Caenorhabditis elegans: one gene and its partner. The protein of the gene in region 1 interacts with the protein of each later gene in a pairwise test. Each region holds a gene or a part of one and is shown on either strand. Other genes may lie near its edges. The genes, in order: nova-1 and jac-1.

Region 1 (8,255 bases):
TCTCTTCATTTCAAAAAATAAATCAAATTGACGTGATGAACTTTCTCTGTGTCTCTCATGGGCGAGAGAGTGAGCTTTTTGAGCCGAATTTGTACTGAAAACGGTAAAATAGGCCGGAAACGGCTGATAGTGAACAAAATCTAATAAAAATTTACTAACTGCCTGATCAAACACATAGAAATTATATGAAAAAGGGCAAAATTGTAAATCACCTATGAATACGCCCACATGTGAAAGTTCAAAATTAGTGATTTTCCAGACAAAACTGATTAAAGCCGGCGATTCGCTGATAAATCTTTAAGTTTTTTATTAATATATTGTCAATTAAGACTAAGTGTATCTATTTTTATGCAAATATCTAGGTTAGTGATGTTCACGACGCCGGCAGACGGAAAAACAAAAGGCTACCTCAAAAAATGGATTTTTTCGGGACCTCTAGTGATCCTTGAAAAGAGAAATTTGAAAATTGAAGGCCACCATTTTGTAGATAATTTTTTTCTGATTATTTTCTGTTTTTGATGAAGGTTTTTTGATGAAAATTGACGTCGGCATCTTCAAAACAAGAATTAGGCCTGAAAACTCCAAAAATCGTTAAAAAACGACAATTTTTGGCGGGTTTTCCTAATTTTACGAGACGCACCAAGACATAATCAAAAATTCAACCTCACCAAAAGTTGCAAAATTCTCTAAGGAAGAGATTAAGATGTCAATCACCTGATTTGATCAAAAACTGATTGAGTAACTTCAGTTTTAAGACAATGCGATTGTAATTTTTGGACAACCGCAAGCATAATAGTTGATGTGAACGCTTTTGAAAACATATAACTCGGTAACCAGAAAAGCTATCAAGAAACTTTGAACTACAAAAATAATCTTGATAACACAAGAAACATTTTCTATGTTCATAATACTTGGCTATTCTCACAAAATACATAGTTTAAGCTATGTAAAGATTCAATGCTTTGAAAAACTTTGATAGAGATACCACGAAGGTATTCGAAATTATCCGTTTGCACAATCATCTCAAAGAAGCAAAAAATAACAAAGTCTGGATTAGTACCGTCTGATACCTTTTTCATATGTCACTTTTTGTTTTTCCCGTACGGGATCCCGTCTTTACAGTCGGCAACCGACTGAAACCGAGGCCACCAATGAATAACTCAGCTTGTGAACCCTGCCGGGAAAGTCTCATCAGTTTTCCATCAGTGTACGACAAAAAATATACCGTATTTCCTCTATTAGTCTTGCAGCTTCTATTAGTCTTGCACCCCTATTAGTATTGCACCCCTACGGACCAATCGAAAATCAGTCATGCGGACTCTATTAGTCTTGCACCCCTACGGGTCAATTGAAAATTAGTCTTGCATTCAAGACTAATAGAGGAAATACGGTAATTGGGTACGATAGGAATACGGTAGGTTTATAAGTTATGTAAGTTTCTACAAATGTAACTACTTCAGTTTCTCTGTACCAAACTTTGAAGAATTTTTTATTACTTTAAAGATCACTGAAATAGTGAGCCGTTGTCTACGAGATCAAATATGTCCGAAAATTACCATTTGGTATCGGTCCTAACAAATCAGTATTTATACCAAAGTTGTTTCTTCGTCAATATTTTGAATTTAATTTAAAAACACATATATTATTCAATTTTCAATCTCACGTGAGAGAGTGTGAGAGAAAAAGAGGAATTTTGAAATAAATGAAATTGAGAGAGGCCGTGCTCCAAGGCTCCATCGATGTCGAATTTGCCATTGGACGTCATTCATAAAATTGTGGAAAAGGTTGAACCAATCGAACGGTATAATCAGAACTAGTTTTTGGAGGATTAATTAAATTGAAAATTTCAGGCTTTCTGTCCGTAAAGTCTGCCGCAACTTTCGTGCAATCGTCGATAATAAGGATCCTGGAATCAAGCGCGTTGTACTTAACATCCATCACTCTCAATTCCAGATGTGGCTGCTTGACGCAAAATCTACTGTAATTCACTATGATTTCAGTCATTCGCATTGCACAGTAAACTACAATGATCGGAATGAGCGCTTTAAAGGAGTGAACGGCTTGAAAATGGCTGAGACAGACTTGTCAGTGGTGATGAAGAACTCGAAACTTCAATTGGAAGTCCTTGAATTCCAAGGATATGATCGTATTCAAAAGAAGGAAACATTTATGAATTGGTTCAAAGAAATGTCCGATTCAAAAAACCTCTACAAGGTAAAAAGAATCGACTTTTCCATTAATCTTCCAACTTTTGCCGCAACAATTTTTCCGCTTCTTCAACCAGGATTTCTAGAAGAAATTTGCATTTACTGCAGCGGGAATCCAGATTACGTCGATCAATTATTTGAAATGGAGCAATGGAAAAGAGCCAAGTCGATTTTTATTGATTCATATGGAGAGAAGCATTTCCCAATTGAAAATCTCTTCCATCTTACCCACTTCTTCATTGATACGGCGTATCTTTCTGTCGCTGATGCTGTTAAAATCAGAGATGTTAGTTTTTTAATGTTCCTTCAAAAAAATTGTCATTTTTTCCAGATTCTCTTGAAATCGACTGTTTTTGAGTCTGGAATCATCACTTCTAGAAATATCTTCAGCGTTGGAGTTGTGCGAGTTTTCAATCCAAATTTCATTGCTAGAAGACCTTTTCGCGTTGACTATGACAATGGCTCTCACTTCAGCCTCTTATACGATCATATTTCTATCAAAATCGAAAAGAAGAAATAAATTAAACTGTTGTTCACTCGTGTGGTTCTCATTAAAATAAACTGTTTTGTTGAAATCTGTTTTTTTTCTTGTTAAATTACAATTTTGAGACATTTTTGTATTAAATTGCAAACCTTGTTGAAAAGTGGAGATTTTCCCGAAAATTTGCTGGAAATTGTGAGAAAAACTATAAGTGAAAAATTGAAATTTATTAGATTTTTTAACTAATTTGCATGGAAATGCATGGATAACCGGTGCAAATTATACAAAACCTCAAGTATTCACGATTTTCTTTTTTTGAGAAAATGATTTTTTGTTTCAATATAGATGAAAAATTGAATTTCAACCCGGAATATTGAGAGTTTCGACGATTTTCTCTCAAGTTTCACGATTTCTAACCAATTTTTGACTCTAAAATTCAGGAAATTTCATTAAAAATCAATAATTTTGAAAACATTTTAAATTAACTTCAATTTAAAAACCGGACTACGGTACACAACTCCGCAAACACCGCACGGCGTGTTCTGTCTACCGTAGTACGGCGCAATAAAAAAAAATAAATTTTTTTCCAATTTTCGAACTTTTCACCCAATTTTCGGCGCTTTTTTGCTGATTTTCGACGAAAAACTGAAGGAATTAACAAGCGCAATGGAAGGTTCGTGCTTTTTCAACTTGAAAAAGGTAAAATTCGAAAAAAAAAATACCTCTTAGGATTCAATTTTTCCATTAATTCCGCAATTTTTCCATCCTAAATTGATATTTCTCACAGAATTGTTTGATTTGTCTTATTTTCCGGCAAAATAATGTTTGAATTCGATAAAAATCGGAAAAATTCGGCTGAAAATGGTGGAATTTACGCCAAAATCCAGATTTTTCGACTTTTCAGCAAGTTTTTGGGTAAAACTACGCCGTTTTGACGAAAATTGCAAGAAAATTGACTTAAAATTTGACTGTATAATTTATGAGTTAAAATTTAAATTCTACTGGTTTTCCGGTAAAATTGCAGTTTTTATTGTTACAAAAGTTCTAAAAAACTGAATTTTGCCTTAAAAAACCCGTTTTTCTGGAATTTTTTGCTGAAAAAATTGAAAAATTGCTTTAAATCTCGTTTTTAAATCAATTTTTCTGTCAAAATCTAACGAAATCTCTCAAATTTTCGATTGGTCTGCTAGCGTTTTTTGTAGTTTGTAGTCTAGCAGATTAAATTTCTGAGATTGGGTCTGCCAGACTACAAATTACAAAATGTATTTAGCAGACCCATCACTTTTTCGACTAAATTTTGCGTTTTCAGGTGAAATTAAGCAGATTTAAAGGAAAAAACTCAGTTTTTCACAGAAAACCGACAAAAAATATGAATTTTTCGTATTTTCAGAGTTTTTTCGGCGAAAATTGTGATTTTATGCATAATTCTCTGTGAAAATTGATTTTTTAAGTCAATTTTCGTGAATTTTCACATTAAAATGTCGAGAAAATGCACATTTTGAGATATTTCCCGCAAAAAAATCAGGAAAAAATGCTCAAAATTGGCGATTTTTACCAAGTTTTATGGTCTGCCAGACTACAAACTACACAAAATGTATTTAGCAGACCCAAAAAAAAACATTTTTCGCGAATTTTTTTGATTTTTTTCTTGCATTTTTGATCAATTAGCATTAAAATTCACTAATTTTCCTCCCCAATTCCAGAAAAACCGGTTTTTCTGGAATTTTTTGCTGAAAAAATTAAAAAATTACTTTAAATCTCGTTTTTAAATCAATTTTTCTGTCAAAATCTAACGAAATCTCTCAAATTTTCGATTGGTCTGCTAGCGTTTTTTGTAGTTTGTAGTCTAGCAGACCCGAGTGGGTCTGCTAGACTACAAACTACAAAACGTATTTGGCAGACCCATAGTTTTTTCGACTAAATGTTGCGTTTTCATGTGAAAATACGCAGATTTAGACGGAAAAAACTCGGTTTCCCATAGAAAAATATGAATTTTTCGTTTTCTTAGACGGTTTTTTGGCGAAAATTGTGATTTTACTCATATTTCTCTGTAAAAATCGATTTTTGAGTCAATTTTCGTGAATTTTCATATTCAAATTGCGAGAAAATTCAAAATTTGAATTTTTCCAGCGAAAAAATCAGGAAAACTGCCCAAAATCACAGCGAAATTGACGATTTTTACCTAGTTTTATGGTCTGCCAGACTACAAACTACACAAAATGTATTTAGCAGACCCAAAAAAAAAATTTTCGCGAATTTTTTTTATTTTTTCTTGTATTTTTGACCAATTAGCATTAAAATTCACTAATTTTCCTCCCCAATTCCAGAAAAGCCGGTTTTTCTGGAATTTTTTGAAAAAAATTTGAAAAATTGCTTTAAACCTCGTTTTTAAATCATTTTCCTCTCAAAATCTGACGAAAATCTCTCAATTTTTCGATTGGTATGCTAGCGTTTTTTGTAGTTTGTAGTCTAGCAGACCAAATTTCTGAGAGTAGGTCTGCTAGACTACAAACTACAAAATGTATTTAGCAGACCCATATTTTTTTCGACGAAATTTTGCGTTTTAGGTGAATATAAGCAGATTTAGACGGAAAAAACTCGGTTTCCCATAGAAAAATATGCATTTTTTTTAAACGGTTTTTTGGCGAAAAATTGTGATTTTATGCGTAATTCTGTGTGAAAATTGATTTTTTAAGGCAATAATCGTTAATTTTTCCTGAAAAATTCCGCGAAAATGCAAGATTTGAATTTTTTTCCCGCGAAAAAATCAGAAATCTGCTCAAAATAACAGCAAAATTGACGATTTTTACCAAGTTTTATGGTCTGCCAGACTACAAACTACAAAAATTGTATTTAGCAGACCCAAAATCCATTTTTTTTTCGCGAATTTTTGGATTTTTTCATGCATTTTTTATTAATCAGCATTAAAATTCGCTAATTTTCTCCCACATTTAGGAAAAAATCGATTTTTTTTTGCCAAATTGCCCCGCTCTCGCCGTTCTTTTTGGCCATCTGCTCTCCGAATAACACTTGGCATGCTGCCAAGTGTCCCACCAACAAATCCCATCGATTTTCGATGTTGGCGAGGGACAAAAAGTGACGACGATTAGAGAGCATTGAGAGCTGAGAGAGACGAGAGAAAACATGGAACCTCTCGTTGTCTGCCGTCTCTTCATCTCATCATTGTGTCCGTCAACTGACTCATTTCTTCGTATTTACGCGCTCTTTTTTCGAAGGAGGACGCGTTCCGTTTTTTTTTTTGGTTTCGTACAAATTTTTGGTTTTTTACGCGATTTTCTCGAAATTGCGTGTGAAAATTTGCAAAAAATTCGATTTTTCGTTTCAAAATCGAGCTTTCCTTCTAAATTATCAAATATAATCGTAAAATCGGTTTTTCTCTACGATTTTTCTTCAAAAGCTGAATTTTTTGCTGAAAAGTGGGTTGAAAATCACGAAAATTGCAAATTTTAACGCTGATCAATAAAAAATGCAAGAAAAATGGATTCTGGGTCTGCTAAATACATTTTGTGTAGTATGTAGTCTGGCAGACCATAAAACTTGGTAAAAATCGCCAGTTTTGCTGTAATTTTGAGCAGTTTTCCTGATGATTTTTTCGCGGGAATAATGCAAACATTTGCATTTTCTCGGAATTTTTAAGGAAAAATGCACGAAAATTGACTCACAAAATCAATTTTCACAGAGAATTTTGCATAAAATCACAATTTTCGCCAAAATACCATCTGAAAATCCGAAAGTTTACACATGTTTAGTTTTTTACACGATTTTCTCGGAGTTTTGTGCGAAAATTTGCAAAAAATACGAATTTTTCGTTCAAAAATCGAGCTTTCCTTCTAAATTATCAAATATAATCGTAAAATCGGTTTTTCTCTACGGTTTTCCTTTAAAAACTGCAAGTTTTGCTGAAAAATCCGTTGAAAACTGCGAAATTTAACTCTAGAGCGTGTAGTTTGTAGTCTAGCAGACCCAAATCGAGCGCATGGGTCTGCCAGACTACAAACTACATTTTCAATCGATTTTTCCGGATTTTTAGGTTTTAAATGTGATTTTCTCGGTGTTTCTTGTTGAAATTCGTGAATTTTCGGGAAAATTTCCTGAAAAGTCAGAATTTTTGCCGGGAAAAGCGAGTGTGCACTCTAAAAATTCAATTAAAACTCAGATTCCCCAATTTTCGCAAAAAAGGAGTTTTTTCTTTAGAGAAACTGCAAATTCCCCTCAAAATCCCTTCAAAAGTACGAAAATTAGCTCTACAGCGTGTAGTTTGTAGTCTAGCAGACCCAAATCGAGCGCATGGGTCTGCCAGACTACAAACTACACATAAAACTAGTTAAATAAAAACGTCAATTTTGCTGTAATTTTGAGCAGTTTTCCTGAAAAATCTCAAAATTTGCATTTCCTCACAATTTGAAAGTGAAAATTCTCGAAAAATTACTCAAAAAATCGATTTTCACACGGAAATTATTGGAGTTAGCCACAAAACTATGCATAAAACCACAATTTTTCTGTGGAAAACGGGGTTTTTCCCTGAAAATCTGCTCATTTTCACCTAAAAACGCAAAATTCAGTCGGAAAAAATGATGGTCTGCTAAATACATTTTGTAGTTTGTAGCCTAGCAGACCAATTTGGTCTGCCACACTACAAACTACATATTTTGCAAAAATTTGCGGTTTTTTCAGTGATTTTCTACCGTTTTTCCTCAATTAAAAAAAAATTCCTTTGAAGTAATATAAATTTCTCAAAAAAATCAATTTTTAGTTGTAGTTTGTAGTCTAGCAGACCCAAATGGTCTGCCACACTACAAACTACATATTTTGCAGTTTTTCGGGGATTTTGCATACGAAAACCAAGAATGTTCAACTTATCCACATTTTTCTCGAATGTTTTCAATAAAAAATAGGACAATTTTTGCTCTGAAATTCAATTTTTAGTTGTAGTTTGTAGTCTGGCAGACCAATTTGAATGTTTTTGCTCGTTTTTTCTGGATTTTTCCCAATTTTTTCCCTTTTTTTTTTTGCAGAAATAATGGCTGAGGAGTTCACCGAAGACTCAAAAACGCAACAAGGCGTAAAACGGACTCAAGACGCTTCAGATGGTCCAGCTAACAAGAAAGCTCATTTTGGAGGCGAAGAAGAGGGTGGAGATCATCTTTCAATTAAGATTTTGATTCCATCAAATGCTGTTGGAGCAATTATTGGAAAAGGAGGAGAAGCGATGAGAAATCTCAAAAATGACAATAATTGTCGTGTTCAAATGAGCAAGAACAGCGAAACGTATCCGGGTAAGGAGGAAATTGAGCCGCGGAAATCGAGAAAATCACCAAATTTCGAGTGAAAAGTTGAAGTTTTCCCGAGTTTTCCATACAAAATGGCGTCAAATTGCCGTTTTCCCAGTGATTTTTGGAAATAATCACTAGGAATTGGTAGAAAATCCCAATAAAGAGCTACCAATCGAGATTTTTTTTGAAAAAATAATAGAAAATCGAGATTTTCGCTATAAAATGTGTATTTGAAAGATGGGTCTGCTGCTAATGTTTTTGTAGTTTGTAGCC
Region 2 (8,255 bases), on another chromosome or scaffold:
ACTGCAATTTTTTTTTTCAAAAAAAAACTGTCAAATTTCATTGAAAACACCTTTCTGTAACAATCTGTAATTTTTTCAATTTAAGAAAAACAGCTATTAATAGTTTTCGAAAAAGTTCAAATAAATTGATAATTAATTATTTGAAAATTTCAGATTGAATGCAAATCTATTTGTCACAAGTTATCCAGTATATGAACATTAAATTTTTGAAAAAAAAAAACAAATTATATGTTTCGTTTGAAACAGTACTTGGCAGTTTTTTGTTATTTTTAAAATAAATCAGCAGTGAACTGAAATTTTAAAAAATTCACTGACAGCCTAAAACAGAGAAATAATTTCAGATTAACAGCTTATTTTGTCCGCTGGAATGATTTTTCCCACTAATATTTGAAACATTTTCGAAAATATATGATCTATTTGAAACAATGTTAAGAAGAAAAATTGTTATGTGAAATATCTAAAAATAGTATTTAGAGAAATTTTAGACAAAATAACAGTTAACTAAAAAACTTGAAGAAAATTCAACAACATCTTGAAACAGTTTTTTTTTCGAATATTCATAGTTAAAACTGAAAAAAACAGGATTTTACACAATTTTTTCTTTTTTTTTTAGAATTCATCTTTCTGTTGAATTTTAGCAAAAAAAACTGTATTTAAAATCAATTTTATGTAGAGAACGTCGTTTACAAAACTACATGCTCAAAGAAACATCTAAAGCAGTGGAAAAAAAGTGTCTCCCATTCTTCAGAAAATCTCTCCACAGTAAAAGAACAAAAAGTCATCGGAAATGAGAACGGCGAACGCAATTTATTCATTTGTTCGTCCCCTCTCTTCATCGAGGACATTCTCTCACTCACACCTTTTTAACCTTCTGTCTCACTCTCTATTTCTCCACTCTCTCTACACACTTTGGCAGAGTGCCAACGTGCGGGAAGAGAGTGTGAGACGCAGAGTGGAGAGAGGGAAATGACATATTGTTTTAGATGGTCTCTTGTTTGCCGTGGAGAAATGGACCGTTTGAGACAGGGAAGGGAAGGGTATTTTCGATTACTCACACCTTGCACATCCTTGCATTTCCAGTGACGTCATCGGGAACCAATTGTCAAGTTTTTAAAAATTGCTGTTTTACTGTTTCATTTTATCCTTATCAATTGTGCAATAAAATAACAGCTAATCAGAAACATTTTCTCAAAGTTTTGAAACAGTAATTTTAATTTAAAAATTGAAATTTCTTGAAGTTTTAAAAGCAAATTTATGAATTTTCACCGTTTAATTATTTTGAAATATTAAAAAATTTTCAGGCAAGGATTCCATGTATATTATGAAACTTATATGGGTCAAATTTATTTCAAAGGTTAAGTAACAATAATATGAGTTTAACTTGCAAGTCGTTAAAAAACATATTGAAATAGTTTTTTTTGCCAAAATAAAGTGGCCTCGATAAAACTTTCATTAAGCAAACATTTTTTTTGCAAATTTTGAAGAAAATTAACTTGGAATACACTTAAATAAAAACTGCTATTAAAACATTCAAATGTTCAATTTATTCTTATTTATGGTAGGCTGGTTACATTAAAAAATTTTTAACTTGGTTTTGCAGTTTCAGTTGCATATACATTGTCAAACAAAAATTAGATTTAACTATTTTTGGATCTGATAACCAAAAATGTTCGGAAAAAAGTATAAACCCTTGAAACCGAAACTATTTTTTTCAATTTCTAAAGTTTTGCCGCAACTCAAAAGTTGCAATAAATGACCACTAGCGTCGTCGTTCCAATCCAATGATATACCAATAAAACATAGCCGAAACGAATATTAATGACAATAATAAACATTTTGTAGACCTGGCTGAGAGATAGTGTGGGATTTGGAGAGACGGAAGACACAACACTAATCCGATGCAAAAACGGAAAAAATAGGACGGACTGTTTGTATTTGGCGGCGGTTAGGGTTTTGAAACGGCTTTTTTGGAGGGAATTAAAGAGAGGTGAGATGGGAATATCGGATGAATTAATGGCACTATCTTTAATCAATTTAAGTAGTTTTATCTAAACAATTTGAAACAGTAGAAATTTATTTTTCGCAGTCGAGAATTTTAGAATACCGACTTTATGCAGAATTAGGTTGCTTTTAGAGAAATTATCAACTTTCAAAATATATCTGGTTTCCGACTGCCTTTTTATTTTCGAGAACTAATATGTTAAGCAATAGAAACAGTCGGAAAAAAGTTTCCAAAATTTTTTCCTTGACAAACTCCGATTTTCTATTTTTTAACGAAATATTTTACTACTTTTCAGAAAGAAAATTTTGAAATAGGCAACTTTTAACCAGTAATTTGTTTTACAAAAAGTGGTGGAACAACGGTCAAAAAGTGGTTGATTTCTCTGCGTTTTGTTCAAGAGCGAGAATGTCACTCAATTCAGAGCAGTTTTATCTTAAGGTGTAAAAACAGTAGAAAAAAGTTGATACCAAATTGTAGAACAAAACACTTTCTGTATTATTGCTTTGAATATTTTGGATTTTCATAAATATTTTAAAGAGAAGATCGTAAGCTATGCAGTACTACTAGAAAGGACAGGCACTTAAATCAATATTTAATGGAAAATTAAAGGTTTTATTTGGGAAACTAGAAAAAGTAAAAATAAGTGTTAGATTTTTTAGCTAAAAGCCGAGATTTGCTGTTGTTATGCAGAATTAGTTCGTTTTTGAAAAAATACACTACTTTCGTTTCAGCTTGTCAACGAGACCCTATGAGACTGCCCTTCTATTTTGGAGCAGTTATATCTTAAGAACTAGAAACAGTTTTTTTTTTAATTTTTAAACTTAATTTCTAGTTTCGGAATTTTAACTATTTTTTTAATACGCAATCAGTTATTTCTTTTGTTTTTTTTTAATTTTAAGAGTATCAATTTGAATGTGTGAGATTATTCAGAGAAAAAAATCGAGATCATATATAATAAAAACTTATCTGTTTTTCTTTGATGTCAAAAAGAGCTTAGATATTTTCAGTGATATCTAAGGAACTTGAAACTTTAGAACATTTTGTTGGCTGAAAATTTAATTTTCTTCAAATAAATATGTTCTATGCCCAATTTTTAAGTTAGTTTTTGATCAATTTTTCATTTCTGGTTTTGAAGTTCGATTTCAAAAATAAGTGCTTTTCTATTTCCTTGTACTACTTCTCAAGAACCAGAAACTGCAAAACTTTTTTTTTCAATTTCAAAATTAATTCAAACTTTGAGATCTCTTTCAAACCCCTCCCAAAAATAAAAATTCCAAAAAAAAAAACTAACCTAACTAGCGTATTAATCTGTTCCGAAGTGTACACCTCCTTCTTTCGCATCGTCCTTTTAGCGGTATCCGACATAGCTCCCCACTCGGAGCCATCCGCCTCGGTTCCCTCCTCTGGTATGGGCTCCATTTCTTGCATCCACCCCGAGGAGATCATCTGTAAAATGTTGGGATTTTGAGGAGGAATTATTGATTATTTAAAAAGTGGACGGAGAGTTGAGAGAAAATGTTAACAATGAGACATCAGATATGGTTTTATAACAGTGCTTATGAGTACTATGTGAAAAAGTGAATTTTTTTCAAAATTTTTTTTTAAAACAAAATTTCACCTATTCACATTTTCGATTTATTTTGCAAAAATTTCACGAACAATTACGTGATCTAGTTCCGAATAGAAAAAATAACATTTTGATATGCATTCAGGAATAATTGTAAATTTTAGTATTCTATGGAGAATTCTGTTAAAACCTTGAATTAGCAGTTTTAATAGAAATCTCAAAATTAATTATGACAATTTTAATCAATTTTTGAGTGAAGTGAGAATTTTCATACGAAAAATATATATTTACTGCATCGTAGTACAATTAGTTTTATTATAAAATTAGCTTTTTTTGTGAACATTCTGAAACAGTACTTGTCAGTAGAGTAGAGAACAAAACAGACCGATTTTTGAATAATTCTTGAAACGGCCAGTTTTCTCAAAATCGAAGCGTTTTTCAATTGAAAACAAAACGATTTAAGACATTTCTGAAACGGTGAAATTTGTTTTTTCGAAAATGCAAAAAACTCCACAATTTTTTCCAGAAATCAACGCGTATTCCGGATTTCTAGCAACAAAAAACGTTATGCGACGAAGATAATACATTTTCCTCTTAAGAAATTAACTTTTCAGCAGTTGTAGAAATTTTTTTGAAAAATAATGTTTCAAGTTATCCATTTATTATCGTAAAATTTGCTTCTACATTGAGTACAGCTCACATTCAAAAATTGGTAATTCTTTAAAACTTTCATTGAGAAACTTTCTAACAATCAAAAATTCCTAAATTAATTGAAAAATTTTGAAAACGAATTTGACGATTTTCTGCACAATTTCGGAATTTTCGTAGAAAAATTTCAAAAAAAAGCTTTTTTTAAAAAATATCATTTTTTGAAAAAAAAACCGTAAATTATGAAGAACTGTTAGTAAACCGAGTAATATTACAAAAATGCAGATGAAATTTTGGGAAAAGTCAAACATTTTCATCCAAAAGTCATTTTTTTCAAATTTTTAATAATAATTTTAATTATTCTGTAAGAATTCAACGTAATATGCCACGTGGAAGAAAGTTTAGGATGGAAACAAATCTAATTACTCAAGTAAACACCATACTGCAAGTTAAAAAATTTATTTGTTTATATGTTACTTTTGAAACGGCAAATTTTTTTTCCAAAATTGTCTTTTTTTTAATAGCGAGATTCATGGAAAATATAAAAATGCTCCAAAACTTCTATTTTCGAAAAGAACAGTAAAACCAAAAAAAGCCAAACCAAAAATATCATAATTATTAATCAAAGCACCCGTCTCCCATCGGAGGTGGTAGACAATTGGTGGGTGCAAATAAATTTTTTTTGAGCAAGATTGATGAGCCGCGATTTGGAGGGAGCCGCTGAGGATCCCAGTGGGAAAAGTGTAAGAGAAGGCACTTTTTGGTGGGAAATTTGAAAAAAATTTAGGATTAAAATTGTTTCTGTTTCAAAATGTTTTCAAAGTTAAAGACAAAGTTAATGTGAAGTTTTATCTCAAAATGTTCATTTTAAGCGAGGTTTTGTTTTTAAAATGTTTGCTGTCGAAATGGCTATGCAAATTTTAAATCAAACTCATCAGCTCCTGCCGATTAGGTTTCTTTTCTTCGGTTGTTACATAACCCTACAGTAATCCCTAAAATATTGTAAATAGCGTTTTAGGACTTCTCCCAGCTAAGAGACGCAGACAACAACAGAACCTCGATCGATGTCGGCTGCGTTTTTTTTTCAGAAAAATTTCACTTTTTCATATTCATCATGTTTTCAAAACTTGTAATGATGAGAATTGTTGGCCTTCGAACGGAACAAGATATCGCAGCTGCGTCTCTCAATCACCAGTACTGATAGTATTACTGTAGGTAGTACTGTAGGGGTACGGCAAAACAGGTGTTAGAAGAAATTTCCTAAAGTCTCTTTAGCTGCAGTTAAAAACTAGCAGAAACTACTTAGAAACAGTTAAAACCATAAAATTTGACTTTTCTGGTTCAATCGGAATTAGTTAGAAAAAATTTGTAGCACTGTTTCATGTCATTTTCAAAGATTTACTACAGTTATTAAAAAAAAAGAAAACTAACGAGTTTCAACAATCGGAATCAGATATATAAGGCTTGTAGAGAAATTGAGAAATTGAGAAACAGTAGAGAAATTGAAACAATCTTTGAAAAAAAAAACAAATTTTGACTGTTTCAGTATGTTCATAAGTTGGTTAACACAAATGACAATGTAATCTGATGATTTTTCTATATTGAAACTGTTTAAAAACAAACAAATTTGACTATTTCAATATGCTCATAATTTCTAGAACAAATATTGTTAAACATTCGGAATGGGTTCAAGTCAGCAAAATTTTTTTGGAAACATCAGAGAGGATTCGTGGTGAGCCCTTGTATTTCTAAAAAAAACTGAATTTTTAGTAAAAATTGCGAAATAAGAATTTAGTTTGAACTGTTTCACAATGTCTTTAACTTCTGAAAATTTTTAAAAATAGTTCCGTCCATGTTTATCACAAATTCAAAGAGAATACTTAAAACATATTTTGAAGAGTATTTTTTTCTAAATAAAAGTATCAATTGAACCATTCCACTGTTTTTCACGATTTTCTCAAAAAAAAAGTCCACTGTTTCAATGTCTGCATAATGGCGGGAATACAACTTTTTAAATATTGAGTTTTAGATAAGTTTGCCACAAAACAAATCTGAAAATAGGCTTCAGTTGTAATATGTGGTTAGATTCTGTAAAAAACATAACAAATATCTGTTTTCACGCGCAACTATTTAGGCCAGCGCGTAGGCCGTTTGACAGGCACGCATGCCTGAAAGTGTGCCTGCTTACAGCAAAATATCATTCCAATAAAACTGCGTATAAAGTGTAAAAAAACGAAATTTTTAAAACTACAAAAAATTACTGTTTCAAAAAGTTAGTATAAAAATTTACGACAAGCGGAGTGATTTGTTTTGTCGCTTTAGGTTCAATTCGTCTATAAAACTTTTGAAAAATGCTGAGCAACTTTGTTTTGCTTTGGAAACAATTTTTCCACAAATTTTCATGAAAATCGTCCAAAAAAGCCAAAAAACTCCCCATTCCTACTTTGGAAATCTACTGACGCATGCACTAATCTGGGATTCACCTACCCTATAATTTCCGCCATTTCGATGGTAATCACTCATATTTTTTAAAATTTCGAATATAGATTCGGATGACAATTTCAATTGAAATCAAACATTTTCCCACATTACACAGAGAAATAGAGAGATAGACGAAAAAATGAGAGAAAAAATGTTCCGTTTTTTGTTGTTGTTCGAGGCGTGCACCTGCGGTGCAGGTGGTGTTGCATTCGGTGGGAAATGTGAGAAAAATGAAATTTTTAACTTTTTCAGAGAGCTGTGAAATTAAAAAACAATTCAAGTAATTTGTGAAGCGGAGAAAAAATGGCAAAAATCATATAAATAATAAACTTTTTAAAAATTGTACATTTTTATCAATCATTTGAAACAGTGGAATTTTTTGAAACTTTTTCAAAATGAATTATACCGTCCTATATATTTCAATGAGCTTTCTGCCAAATTAACCAATAATGACTCGAAATCAGAGTTGTTCTCTGAAGTTACAATGAAAAGCATTCAAATCCTGAAATTAATAATGTGAGACTTCCAACTTATTTTATGTCAATTCATTGAAACAGTGAATTTTTGGTCAAAAAAATTTTTTTTTGAAAAATTTTCAAAACTATTTTTTTGTATCGGGGCATATAAAAAGGTACAAATTTCTTCCAATTGAGCCTTTTGCACCGAATATGAGGTGGTTTTTAAGCTTAAAAATTGCTTGAAATATGTAATGGATGTACCTTTGAAAACGTTTTTCTTTCACAAAAAGGTCCGAAGCCATATTCAAACCTTCAAAAAGCATCGGTGCAACATATTACATTACCCAAACACAAGCCTTGCTCCTACTTTCGGTCAAATATATGGGACTGGAAATTTTGAGTTCGAAAGTTTTAAATACCAAAAAAAAATTTTTTGCAATTTTTAAAAATTAAAAAAAAATTGCCACTGAAAGAATCGAACACGAGACCTTTATTCCGTTTTACCAAGCATTTACCATTCGGACATCAATCCCTGATTTTTATTGTTTTCAATGTTTTAAACCATTTTATAAATATTGAAGATGATTTTTGTATATGTAAAATGAATAAATACGAAATAGTATTGAAAACTAGGAGGGCGCAGAGAAAAATTTTCAGATGGCGCTTTCAGGGGTTCAGAGTTGAGTTCCGCCGCTAAAATTTTTGTGGTGATCTAGGCTAACCATAAGCTTTCAAATGACATACGTCTCGATTCGAAGTCCGGGACTAGATTGACTTCCTTTCCTTGTTAGTTAAACCTTTTGAATCATAAAAAATGAATTGAATTTTTCAGAATTTTATTCTTGTCATTGACTAAAAACTTGAAAAACATCAAAACTAAAATTTTTCAGCACAGAAAACTTTAATCGGCTACTTGAAACAGTATCAGATTTGGATTTTTTTGAAAACGCTAAACTGGATCAAAAGATGTTTCCAGCAACATTGCCAAACCTAAAACGGAATTTATTTTTTAAAAAATTTTAAGTGGTTTTTATACTAAAAATTGTAAAAACGGGAAATTTTATTTTAATTCAATTTCAATTTTTCTACTGTTTCACAA

The links.
Region 2: the proteins of nova-1 (region 1) and jac-1 interact in a two-hybrid assay, tested with the Caenorhabditis elegans proteins (one study listed by BioGRID).

What each region holds. Positions count from the first base shown.
Region 1 is NC_003283.11:18,076,930-18,085,184, reverse strand, and holds the start of nova-1 (K Homology domain-containing protein), read left to right. Parts: upstream 1-3,278; 5' UTR 3,279-3,354; coding exon 3,355-3,361; intron 3,362-5,144; exon of another isoform or gene 5,145-5,229; intron 5,230-6,928; exon of another isoform or gene 6,929-7,016; intron 7,017-7,724; coding exon 7,725-7,985; intron 7,986-8,211; exon of another isoform or gene 8,212-8,255. Other genes in the region: fbxa-106 (F-box domain-containing protein), read left to right, coding at 58-103, 1,714-1,801, 1,851-2,493, 2,539-2,727.
Region 2 is NC_003282.8:16,023,400-16,031,654, forward strand, and holds the start of jac-1 (Fibronectin type-III domain-containing protein), read right to left. Parts: upstream 3,449-8,255; coding exon 3,294-3,448; intron 3,155-3,293; exon of another isoform or gene 3,130-3,154; intron 3,034-3,129; exon of another isoform or gene 3,013-3,033; intron 2,990-3,012; exon of another isoform or gene 2,969-2,989; intron 2,757-2,968; exon of another isoform or gene 2,736-2,756; intron 2,591-2,735; exon of another isoform or gene 2,570-2,590; intron 2,408-2,569; exon of another isoform or gene 2,381-2,407; intron 2,230-2,380; exon of another isoform or gene 2,209-2,229; intron 2,172-2,208; exon of another isoform or gene 2,151-2,171; intron 2,023-2,150; exon of another isoform or gene 1,999-2,022; intron 1,653-1,998; exon of another isoform or gene 1,632-1,652; intron 1,369-1,631; exon of another isoform or gene 1,345-1,368; intron 1,196-1,344; exon of another isoform or gene 1,175-1,195; intron 1,164-1,174; exon of another isoform or gene 1,138-1,163; intron 497-1,137; exon of another isoform or gene 473-496; intron 381-472; exon of another isoform or gene 360-380; intron 199-359; exon of another isoform or gene 178-198; intron 1-177. UniProt on the Caenorhabditis elegans protein: May act as a positive modulator of hmr-1 function during epidermal morphogenesis. Required for proper localization of other junctional components, such as pac-1.